Mus musculus: one gene and its partners. The protein of the gene in region 1 purifies or fractionates together with the protein of each later gene. This does not show direct contact. Links are inferred from orthologs where the notes say so. Each region holds a gene or a part of one and is shown in the gene's direction. Other genes may lie near its edges. The genes, in order: Nup153, Tnpo1 and Nup133.

The links.
Region 2: the proteins of Nup153 (region 1) and Tnpo1 purify together in Homo sapiens (co-immunoprecipitation; 3 studies listed by BioGRID and IntAct, with this or other methods). This does not show direct contact. The link is inferred for Mus musculus from reciprocal best matches to the Homo sapiens genes NUP153 and TNPO1.
Region 3: the proteins of Nup153 (region 1) and Nup133 purify together in Homo sapiens (co-immunoprecipitation; 3 studies listed by BioGRID and IntAct, with this or other methods). This does not show direct contact. The link is inferred for Mus musculus from reciprocal best matches to the Homo sapiens genes NUP153 and NUP133.

The regions. Positions count from the first base shown.
Region 1 is NC_000079.6:46,682,796-46,686,448, reverse strand, and holds part of Nup153 (nuclear pore complex protein Nup153), read left to right. Parts: intron 1-2,212; coding exon 2,213-2,566; intron 2,567-3,179; coding exon 3,180-3,452; intron 3,453-3,653. UniProt on the Homo sapiens protein: Component of the nuclear pore complex (NPC), a complex required for the trafficking across the nuclear envelope. Functions as a scaffolding element in the nuclear phase of the NPC essential for normal nucleocytoplasmic transport of proteins and mRNAs.
Region 2 is NC_000079.6:98,856,746-98,860,398, reverse strand, and holds part of Tnpo1 (transportin-1), read left to right. Parts: intron 1-410; coding exon 411-636; intron 637-1,841; coding exon 1,842-2,013; intron 2,014-3,423; coding exon 3,424-3,510; intron 3,511-3,653. UniProt on the Homo sapiens protein: Functions in nuclear protein import as nuclear transport receptor. Serves as receptor for nuclear localization signals (NLS) in cargo substrates.
Region 3 is NC_000074.6:123,932,244-123,935,896, reverse strand, and holds part of Nup133 (nuclear pore complex protein Nup133), read left to right. Parts: intron 1-2,382; coding exon 2,383-2,530; intron 2,531-3,653. UniProt on the Homo sapiens protein: Involved in poly(A)+ RNA transport. Involved in nephrogenesis.

The DNA.
Region 1 (3,653 bases):
TACAGACCCAATTTTGAGAAATGCAGCTGTAACAGAAAGTACACAATGGGGCATATTATATATGTCTTTCTGTCCTTTGGACATTTTATAATTAGAATTGATGCATACTGTCAGGGAAAATAAGTTTTAGGTAAATTTTTATTTACAAATTATGGATAATGAGTCATCAAACATGTAAGGAACATTGGCAGTGAATATAATTCAATTCTAAGAAAACAGGATCATTTGAAAACTAAAATAGAGGTGGGGAACAACCTCATTAAAAAGAAGTTGGTTGACATAAAGCTGTTTGGTTGATGGAGTGGTGGGATGAGCATTGTCTGGTCTGATTATTGTAATGAGGTTTCCCAGAGCAGTGTCACCTGAAAAGTGCTTTTGAAATTGAATTCACTTAGATAATGAGAGTGGTATAGGGAAACATTAGAAAATTTAGAGGAAGATTTTCTGCATATAAAATAAGACACTGAGGCTGGAGAGATGGGCCCAGCAGTTATGCATACTGCTCTTTGAAGAGGACACAGGTTTTGAGTCCCAACACCTATTTTAGGTGGTTCACAACTGCCTATAATTCCAGCTCCAGGGGTATTTGATTCCTACACACATTCAGGTAAAAATTAAATTTAAAAAGACACTGGTTTCAAAATAAAAACGACTGAGCTGGGCATTAGTCCAGTGATAGAGAAAACATTCTGCAAGGCTTGTGCAAAGCCCTGGATTTGATCCTCAGTACCAAACAGTGCCCCATAAAATGAAATCATCTTGAACCATTTTGTAGCTAGAAAATTTTGATCAGACATAAAAGCAAATGTAGCTATTTTCAGACATGCAAAGTTTGTAACTTTGACACTTTTTTATTAAACACCTTTGAAGCACTCAGGGAACCCCCACATGGGAAATTCACATAACCATGAGTAGTTTTTTCATATTCGATGTTTACGTGTAAATTTGAAAACAACCTACAAAAAAAAAAAGAATTAAAACTGCCTATTATTTGAAATGGGGAGAAATGAAATATTGTAACCAGCTTTGATCATGAAATCTTATCACCTGTAGAAAGCAGTCGCCCATCCTGTCTAGTGTGTAGCTTCAGAGCTGAAATACTGAGAAAGTAGAAGTTTGATTCAGGTGGTATAAGAAATCAGAAGCTTTTCTTCAAGTCACCAATCAGTAGTTATACAGCATAAACAAGTCCTGTGTTTTCTAAGCTTTCTAATTATTTATCTAATTTTAAGACTTATTTATTTTATGTATGAGTACACTGAAGCTGTACAGATGGTTGTGGTTGCTGGGAATTGAATTCAGGACCTCTGCTTGCACTGGTCAGCTCCGCTTGCTCTGGCCCAAAGATTCATTCTATCTAAATACACTGTAGCTGTCTTTAGACATATCAGAATAGGGTGCCAGATCTCATTACTAATGGTTGTGAACCACCATGTGGTTGCTGGGATTTGAACTCAGGACCATTGGAAGAGCATTCATTGTGCTTAACCGCTGAGCCATCTCACTAGCCCAGCTTTCTAATTTATAATGGCTGCAGTGATAAGTGTAAGAGCATAGAAAAACCTCATTCCTGGGGGAAAACATTTCTTTTGTTCCTTTCATTTCAGTTATTAGTTTTTGTGGAGTTTGTCAAGCTCTAAGCTGCCTATGAAATTTGTAGGGGAAAGTAAACGCACAAGGAATGTGAGAAGAAAGGCAGGCACTAATCAATAACAGTCTAATAATAATGACAGTGACCACGAAGGGAAATACGTATAGATTAGGAGATTTAGGGTGCCACCAAGGTGACATTGTGTATTAATTATTAGCAGGAGTTAGCAAATACTCAAGTGCAGTCAGTATGATGAGATTTTGTTGATTTGTTCATGTGGATAAATGGAAGTCAGGGTGCTGCTATTGTAATATGACATAAACCACAGCACAGACAGACACGTACAAATGTACCCAGCTTCTACTATCTGATTTGGTTTCTGAATATAATACCAAGTTAGATTTGGATGTGAGACAGTGTATTTTACATTAAATTTATGCACATAGTAGCAGGACTTTTTATTTGAATGCTAAGGGTCTTTGAGTAAAGAGAAAATCTGTAGACCATAAAAGATAAGTACTTTTGACATTTCAAAGAATTGATGTTTACTTGATGAGACTATATTAGGTGATTTGTTCCTCCTTAAGGATTTATGTTTGTTTCTCAATCATTGTTTTGCAGATCAAGGTGCAGCAAAGCCAGTTTTTAGCTTCTTGAACAGCAGTTCCTCTAGTTCAAGTGCACCAGCCACTTCATCTAGTGGTGGCATATTTGGTAGTTCCACCTCTTCCTCCAACCCACCTGTGGCAGCCTTTGTGTTTGGACAGGCCAGCAATCCTGTCAGCAGCTCTGCCTTCGGTAACGCTGCTGAATCCAGTACATCTCAGTCTTTGCTATTTCCTCAAGAGAGCGAGCCAGCCACCACGTCCAGCACTGCCCCAGCTGCCTCTCCCTTTGTATTTGGGACAGGAGCCAGCAGTAATAGTGTGTCTTCTGGGTTCACTTTTGGGGCTACAACCACGTCAAGCTCTTCAGGTACTTCTGTGCTAGGAGAGAAAAATGGGGTTTGTAGTTGGATTGGTTCTGCTGAATTGCCAGCTGCAGTGTGCCTCCAATTCATGTAAGGTCTAAGGTCTCACCTGTGGAAAAATGGGCACTTCAGGTGGAATAGATCTAATTCTTAAGAACAGTATTTTCTAATTTTAGGAAGAATATATAACATTTCCAAGTTGCCTTTTTGAAATGTCAGATTTATAAGCGACCAGATAGTAATAGTGGTTGTATGGGATGTGTGTTTATACAGTGACTCAGAGCAAGTCTTTGAGATAAACCATTATAGAAAAAATTGTTGAGCCTAAGCTACTCAGTTCCAGGCCAGCCCCAGGAATACTATAAGACCTTGTCTGACAGGCACACCCCTCTTACTAGTAAATGATTGTTGGTTGCAAAGGGGGAAGGTTGTGTTAATTGAAGCTTTTGTTAAACCAGTGTATGTTTAGTAAACAGTGTCATTCATTGTTCTAATCTAATTGTAATCAAGGTAAGAGTGTGAAAGTAGCTTGAAATTTGTGGATTTACAAATGTTTCTCAAGGGTTATCTTATTATATATAAACCTTGATGTTGATTTAACTATTTCTTGGCCTCCAGGATCCTCCTTTGTATTTGGCACTGGACATTCAGCACCATCTGCCAGTCCAGCATTTGGTGCTAACCAGACTCCAACATTTGGACAAAGTCAAGGTGCCAGCCAGCCTAACCCGCCAAGCTTTGGCTCTATCTCGTCTTCAACAGCATTATTTTCTGCTGGTTCTCAGCCTGTACCACCACCTATATTTGGGACAGTGTCAAGCAGCAGCCAACCTCCTGTGTTTGGACAGCAGCCTAGTCAGTCTGCATTTGGCTCTGGGACAGCTAATGCCAGTAAGTTTGTATGATAGTTGACATCTATACTTACAGTCTGGTGTTTTAAAATAGTGTTTTTTCTTTGTACTTTGAAACTATGTGTGTGTTTTAATTTTTAATGTTTTATACTTAACAATGAATTGTGTTTCACATTTACGTATAAACATTACAGAGTTTTAGTCAACTTTATTTGATGGCTTTAAACTGTATTTAAAATGT
Region 2 (3,653 bases), about 52 Mb from region 1:
CAACCATATTTTCTGTGGGTGCTTTTGTTATAGTAAATGAAACTAAAAGAAATCGAATGTTTGAAAGCTATTTCTCTTAAATCACTTTATTCCTCAGGTAAATCTAGAGACTTGATAACACGAGAATGTCATCATCATTTTGATGTCCTGTCTTCACTATAAACATTGTCTCAAAATATTTATAGGTGCTTTGAAAACCAGAAATATCATGGAAAAAAATGGAATGAAATCTTAACCTCCTTTAAGACACCTAGGAACAATTAACTCTGATTTGTTGTTTTTTAATAGCTTGGTATCAACTTTTCTATTTGTAGCCCTGGAAATATACTAAATGTTTCTTAGTGGATGCTGTGTCCTTTCTATATACAGTTGAGTATAGCACGTTTTGAAAGATTGCTGTTCTTTCCTAGGTTGTATGCAAGGCATGATTCCGTACCTGCCCGAGCTCATTCCTCACCTTATTCAGTGCCTTTCTGATAAAAAGGCTCTTGTGCGTTCCATCACCTGCTGGACTCTTAGCCGCTATGCACACTGGGTAGTCAGCCAGCCACCAGATACGTACCTGAAGCCATTAATGACAGAACTGCTGAAGCGTATCCTCGATAGCAACAAGAGAGTACAGGAAGCAGCTTGCAGGTAGGACAGAGCCATAGCACTGTTTGTTATGAACATGAGAGCCTGGTTTCAAACCAGCAGACTTTTATACCACAAACTGCTGCAGTTATGATGAGAAATTGTTTTACTAACGGTTTTACTAAACAAAATGTGTCGTAATCCTTTGCTTTCTTGGTGGATTTTCAAACGAATAACAACATTTTAGATACTTATCCACTACCTTAACTTTGAGATTGAATGGCCTGCAGACTTTTGACACGTCCTCAATGGTGCTGTGCACAATCTTTCAAAACGTGCCAGTACCAGTGGTTGGGCTCTGCTCACATCAGAATTGCTTGTTTTCATTCCTACTGGTTTCTGTTTCTGGGAGCAGGGGAAGAAGATGGGAACTGCAATTAAATTCCTAATTCTTTGAACTGCTTTTACCATTGACCTTTTGTCCATCTAGGGATCAGACCCAATACTTACACATGCTAGGCAAGTGCTTGGCCATTTAGTGCCATCCTAGCTCACCATTGACTAAGTACTCCTGTGTGTGTGTGTGTGTGTGTGTGTGTGTAAATGAAGGGAGGCAAACTGAGGCTAGCATGTGGCTCCATTTGTAGAGTGACTGCATAAAGTCCTGGGCTTTGTCCTCAGAGCCATGTGATTGGACATGGTGATGCATGCCTGTCATGTCAAGACTGAAGGTGAGGATCAGCCTGGGTCATTCTGGGCTACATAGCAAATTTGAGGCTAGTCTAGACTACCAGCTGTAATGGTGCCAGCTTTAGTCTCAAACTTAGGTACAGAGGCAGGTGTCATTCTGTGCTCAAAGCCACAAGGGCTACAAAGTGGTTCAAGGCCAGCCAGAACTACATAATGAGACCCTGTCTTTAAAATTTTAAAAAGGGAGAGGGCAAGCTGGGGAGATGGCTTACAGACACTTACCTGCTCTTGCAGAGGGCCTGGGTTTAGTTCCCAGCAGTACATGTCAGCCTACCCTCTAATTCCATTTCAGGGATTTAGATGCTATGGTTGTCAAGAGCTCCTGTATGCACTCGGTGCCACATAACACAGCCTCAGGCATCTACACATAAAGCAAATAATTTTCAATGAAAAAAAAAATTTTAAACCAAAGTAAGCATGCAGAGTGAGGCAGCAAGGTGCTCATGATGTGACGTGAAAGCATCTGCGAACTGGAGACCATTTATTGTTTTTCCTTTTGTTTGTTTTTCTCATCCTAGTGCCTTCGCTACATTAGAAGAGGAGGCTTGTACAGAGCTCGTCCCTTACCTTGCTTATATACTCGATACCCTCGTCTTCGCCTTCAGTAAATACCAGCATAAGAACCTGCTCATTCTGTACGACGCCATAGGGACACTGGCAGATTCAGTGGGACATCATTTAAACAAGCCAGTAAGGACCTGAGGGTGACTGCTATGGGGACATTACAATAATAAACTGCAATAAATACATAGTGTATATTACAAAGTGAAGTATGAACCGTTAGCGTTTCCACCTTTGAAAATCACTTACGGTTAGTACAGAAATTCAAGTGTCTGGAGGAAAGAGGGTAAAGAAGATGTTATAGTCTGGCTTTGCTCCTTTACTTAGTTCCATGTAAGCACCATTTCATTAACACTGGCATCAAAGCTGCTGCATCTACACACTCTACTTCCTGTTCAGAGTGTACCAGGCAGTAGGAGTCGCCTATATAAAGTGAGAATGGGAATGAGAGATTGAAAATGCTGAATAGCAGTACTGAAGTGTCTTGCTTCTAGTTGTGTAAAACATGAGTGAGGATTTGAAGTCTTAAGAACAAGAGTCAGCTGTCTCTGCTGAATATGAATAATATCTGATAAGACATGTGGTCACTGTAGGAAATGTGTTATCAGTAAGTGTAACTCACTCTTGTTTTAAATTATGCTCAAGATATTGGCTGGTTTGGTTCGTTGAGGAATAGGTCATGTTTTAAAGCCTGTGCCTTTTGTTTAATTAATGTGATGGTATTATAAAGCCACTGCCCGCTCTTCCCACCCCAAAACTGTTTATCGCTTGAAAATAAAACTTGTGATTTGGGCTGGAGAGATGTCTCTGGTTAAGAGCAATGGTTGCTCTTCTAGAGATTCTGAGTTCAATTCCCAGCAACCACATGGTAGCTCACAACTGTCTATAATGTGATCTGATGCCCTCTTCTGGCATGCAGGTATAAACGCAAATAGAGCACTCATATATATTAAATGCATAAATAAATCTTTTTTTTAAAAAGCTTGTGATTGCTGGACAGTGATGGCCGCACGCCTTTAATCCCAGCTCTTGGGAGGCAGAGGTAGGTGGATTTCTGAGTTCAAGGCCAGCCTGATCTACAGGGTGAGTTCCAGGACAGCCAGGGCTGTACAGAGAAATCCTGCCTCAAAAAAACAAAACAAACAAAAAAAAAGCTTGTGATCTAACAAGGTATGGATTATGCTGGGTTTGATGACACACCTAGTATCAGCACTTGAGAGGCAGAAGCAGAGGCAAATGGCTTTGGGGCCAGCTCTGACTACATAGTGAATACCAGGCTAGCCAGGGCTGCATCATAAGACTGTTTGAAAAAGGAAAAGAACAAGTAGTAGATCTTGATGGTCTAAGGTACTTACTGATAACACATTTTCTTTTAAAAAAAATATAGATTACTTTAAATCAGGATCATATGAATTAAAGAGTAAGTCTTAAAATGTAAAAATTTAACACAATTGCTCCAGATGGGTTTTAGTTTTATAGACTCAATGAACATGTTTGCAGATGATAGTGAAGCTTTTTGTTTTTCATTACGGTAAACAGGAATATATTCAGATGCTAATGCCTCCTTTGATCCAGAAATGGAACATGCTGAAGGATGAAGACAAGGATCTTTTCCCTTTGCTTGAGGTACGCTGAGCTGGTGACGTTCAGTTATTCTAACAGTGTCATTCAGTCACAGTCATGGCCTGAACCAGAATGTGTGTGTGTGGTAAAAATATCTGTCTTCACAACAGTTTCTGGTGCGTTGTAGAATAGCACATAACTGCTTT
Region 3 (3,653 bases), on another chromosome or scaffold:
CCGGCTCTGTCTTTATTCCATCTTAAGGTGATGCCAGCACCCCCTCCTTTCTGTTGCCAAGGGAGCCCTGAACAGTGGTCTTTGCTCTATGGAGACATTGGGTTCTCGTCACCGTTAGTGAAGGAGCTCTTGTCCCACAGTCAGTGACTAAGCTGATGTAATGAGGCTGTGTCCTCCATTGCGAGCTAGACTCAGCATGGTTATGCTTGGTCTTAGGAAGGGCTTGGCAGATCACTCAGGCATCCTGAGGCAAGAGGATTGGGGTTCCTGGCCAGCGTGAGCCATGCACAAGACTCTGTCGAAAACAGACCAAGTTGAAGACTTTTTTGTTCTTGTTTGAGACAGGGTTTCTCTGTATAGCCCTGGCTGTCCTGGAGCTCACTCTGTAGACCAGGCTGGCCTAGAACTCAGAAATCCACCTGCCTCTGCCTCCAGTGTTGGAACTAAAGGCGCGTGACACCACCTTACCTGGACAATTGGAGACGTTTCCTGTGTCCCGTATGTTCTGGTTTTGGTGTGGCACAGCCGGTGTCCTTGCTTCTCGGAAGGTGTTGCGGCTGCCTCTGGTCATGAGGGGTGGTTATCTCCAGTACCATTGAGTCTGTTAGCTTGTTTCTCAGCAGGACCTGAAAACCCTGTAAAGACTTAGGAGTCTTTACTGAGTTATTATTGACAACGTTGTGCTTTCCTCATTTTAGATGTAACGAGGTTAGCTTTGTTTTGTGGCAGCTTTGTAGCACAAGTTAGCCTTGGCCTTGGGGTTCTCCTGACTCGGTCCCTAGAGCACTGGAGCACCAGGCATGTTCTCATTCCTGGCTGGGATTTCCCCATCTTAAGTTTATTAATGTACAGGTTCTTTTTTTAATTGATTAAAAAAATTTTTTTTCCTATGCATTGCTGTTTTGCCTGCATGTATGTCTATGTGAGGGTATCATATTTTCTGGAACCAGAGCCACAAACAGCCCTCAGCTGCCATGTAGGTACTAGGAATTGAACCCAGGTCCTCTGGAAGCAAAGCCAGTGATCTCAGCTGCTAAACCATCTCTCCAGCCCCAGCGTGTAGATTTTTATATAACCTGTTTATCAATGTTTTACTGATCTGCAGAATTTCGATTGACTACCTACTGTTTTCACTGCTTAAAATAACTTTATGGATTTTGGGGGATTTGGTTTGTGGGAGATTATTTTGTTTTGAGACATGGGCTCACTGTATAACTGGCCTGGAACTCACAGAAATCTGCCTGTCTTTACTTCCCACGTGGGGTTTTTGTAGAGGTTTTTGTTTTGTTTTGTTTTGTTTTGTTAAGATTTATAGCCTCTCTGTCTCTTTCTCCCACTCTGTGTGTGTATGTCTATGCACATACACACACATACGTATACCTGCAGAGCGCAGAAAACATCACATTCCTTGGAGCTGGCGTTTCATGCTTGTGAGCCTCCTGATGTGGGTGCTGGGAACAGGCCTCTGAAGAGTAACAAATGCTCTTAGCAGTTGAGCAGTCTCTCTAGCACTATGGGTTGTTTTGTTTTGTTTTTCCAATTAGGATCATAGGTAAAATCAGGGAATCCTAGCCCTATAGGACCACCTCTTAAGGACCCTGTTAGATGAGTAACAAGGTACTGCCTCAGTAGCGCTGGGTGAACAAGCATAGGTGCTGCTCATGGCCTTAGGTCACCTTGACCTTAGTAATGGACTGTGCTAATTCCCAGACTAAGCCAGGCTGATTGAATAAGCCAGGTGCATATAGAATAGTCATCTTAACCACAGTCCTGATACAGAACAGGATTGATTGGTGCTCAGCGCTAGAGCAACGTCTGCATACACTCGGCAGAGTTTAAACCTCACATAGGTGGCAGTGGGGAGAAGAGATCACTTTCCTCCCTTTGTGCCCCTGACAGTTACTGATCCGTCCTTCAAAGTTCTGTCTTTTTCAGAATGCTGTATAAATGCTATGTAATACAGCTTGACATGGTTGATTTAAAATCAATTCAGAAATGTCTCCATTTCCTTTGCTAGATAGCATTCAAGAGAAAATATGTGTAGATATATCAGGATTTATCTGCTCAGCAGTTGAAGGCATTCAGTTGTTTTCAGGTTGGCTACTGTAATAAAGCCACTGTAAACATTTGCATTAAGGCAATTGTGAGAATGTTTTTTTTTTCTTCCCTTAAGTATTCAAATATCTAGGTTCAGGGTTCTAGTTTATATGGTGTGTATAATTTTGTAAGAATCTGACTTTACAAAGAATCCTGCAGGGTGTAATGGCATCTGCCTTTGGACCTCTGAATCTCAGGACAGCCAGGGCTGTGTATAGTGAAACCCTGTCTCCAACAACAGCAGCAGACACAGAGGCCTCCTTTCTCTTCCCACCCCTTTTCTAGCGATGGGCTCCTGATTTTGGCAGCAGCGTGGCACCTGGGAGACAGCCCCTGTCTTGTCTATTACTCTGTGATCACGGTGGAAGACAATGGTAACCAGATGTCAGATGCAGTCACCGTAGAAGTGACTCAGTATAACCCCCCTTTCCAGGTAAGTTCGTCACAGGGAGGCCACAGCTCACCAGAGTCCTGCATAGCCACTGGTGGCTTTAAGGCTCACTGGCAAGATTTGGAAATAGTTGTAGATATTAGTGCGTTTTGTTTTTCCATCTCCCTCTCTGGCCCAGTGTGAAGTAAAGAAAGATGATACTGAAGGTAGCCCGCAGCCAGTCCTTGGACGATTTCGCTGTAGCTCGGTATTGAGTGGAAAGGAAGTTGGATGACAAGCTGCATGGTGAAATACTTGGATTCAAATTTTGGGGGGTGTGCGTTGGTTTGTAGTTGAGATCGGATGACTGTGTAGTCTAGTCTGACTACATATTCAAGATGCAGTCTTGTCTCTTGTCTCCCAAGTTGTTATTATAGGTATGTGCTATCGTGTCTTCCTGGGATTCAGTTTTGAGACCTTTATATTATAAACAAATTCCATGTGCCTAGGGGAGACTGTGATTTATGTACTCACAAAATAAACCACCAGGAGACAGCATCAGTGATGTTGAGTATAAACAGAAATTAAACACGTTCTCTAGTAACTGGCATTTGCCAGGGAAGCCATGTCCTTTAACCTCATGTAGCATCTAAGTCTATTAAGTCTTTACTTACTTGAGACGGAGTCTCACTGTGTAGCTCTGGCTCATCCTGGAGTTCAGAGTGCTGCCTGCCTCTGCCCCCATGTGCAGGTGTTAAAGGTGTGTGACCGTGCCTGGCCCTGGCTTGTTTGTTTGGGGATCTACATTGAGTGCAGTGCTGGCGGGGGCGGGGCGTTGTATGTGCCTCTGGAGCTGGGCACAGGTGACTGTGAGCCACCCCATAGCGATCCTCTCACAGAGCCCTTTCTCCAGCTACTAAATCTTTATTCTTAATATACTTGCTTATCTAAATCCCATAAGAAAATCTGTTGTTCTTTGATTTGTAACAGGGATAAATCTTACCATGTGTTTCAGTTCAGTATAACTGGAAATCATAGCTCAGTGTCATTTTAATTTTTCACAAAGTGCCGAGGAATATAAAGAAAACAATTTGTGAATAAATCTGCCCTACAGTCTCACTTTAATGTTATTTTGGGGACGAGAGATGGCTTAGTGAGGAAGAGCATTTGCTGCTCTGGCAGAGGA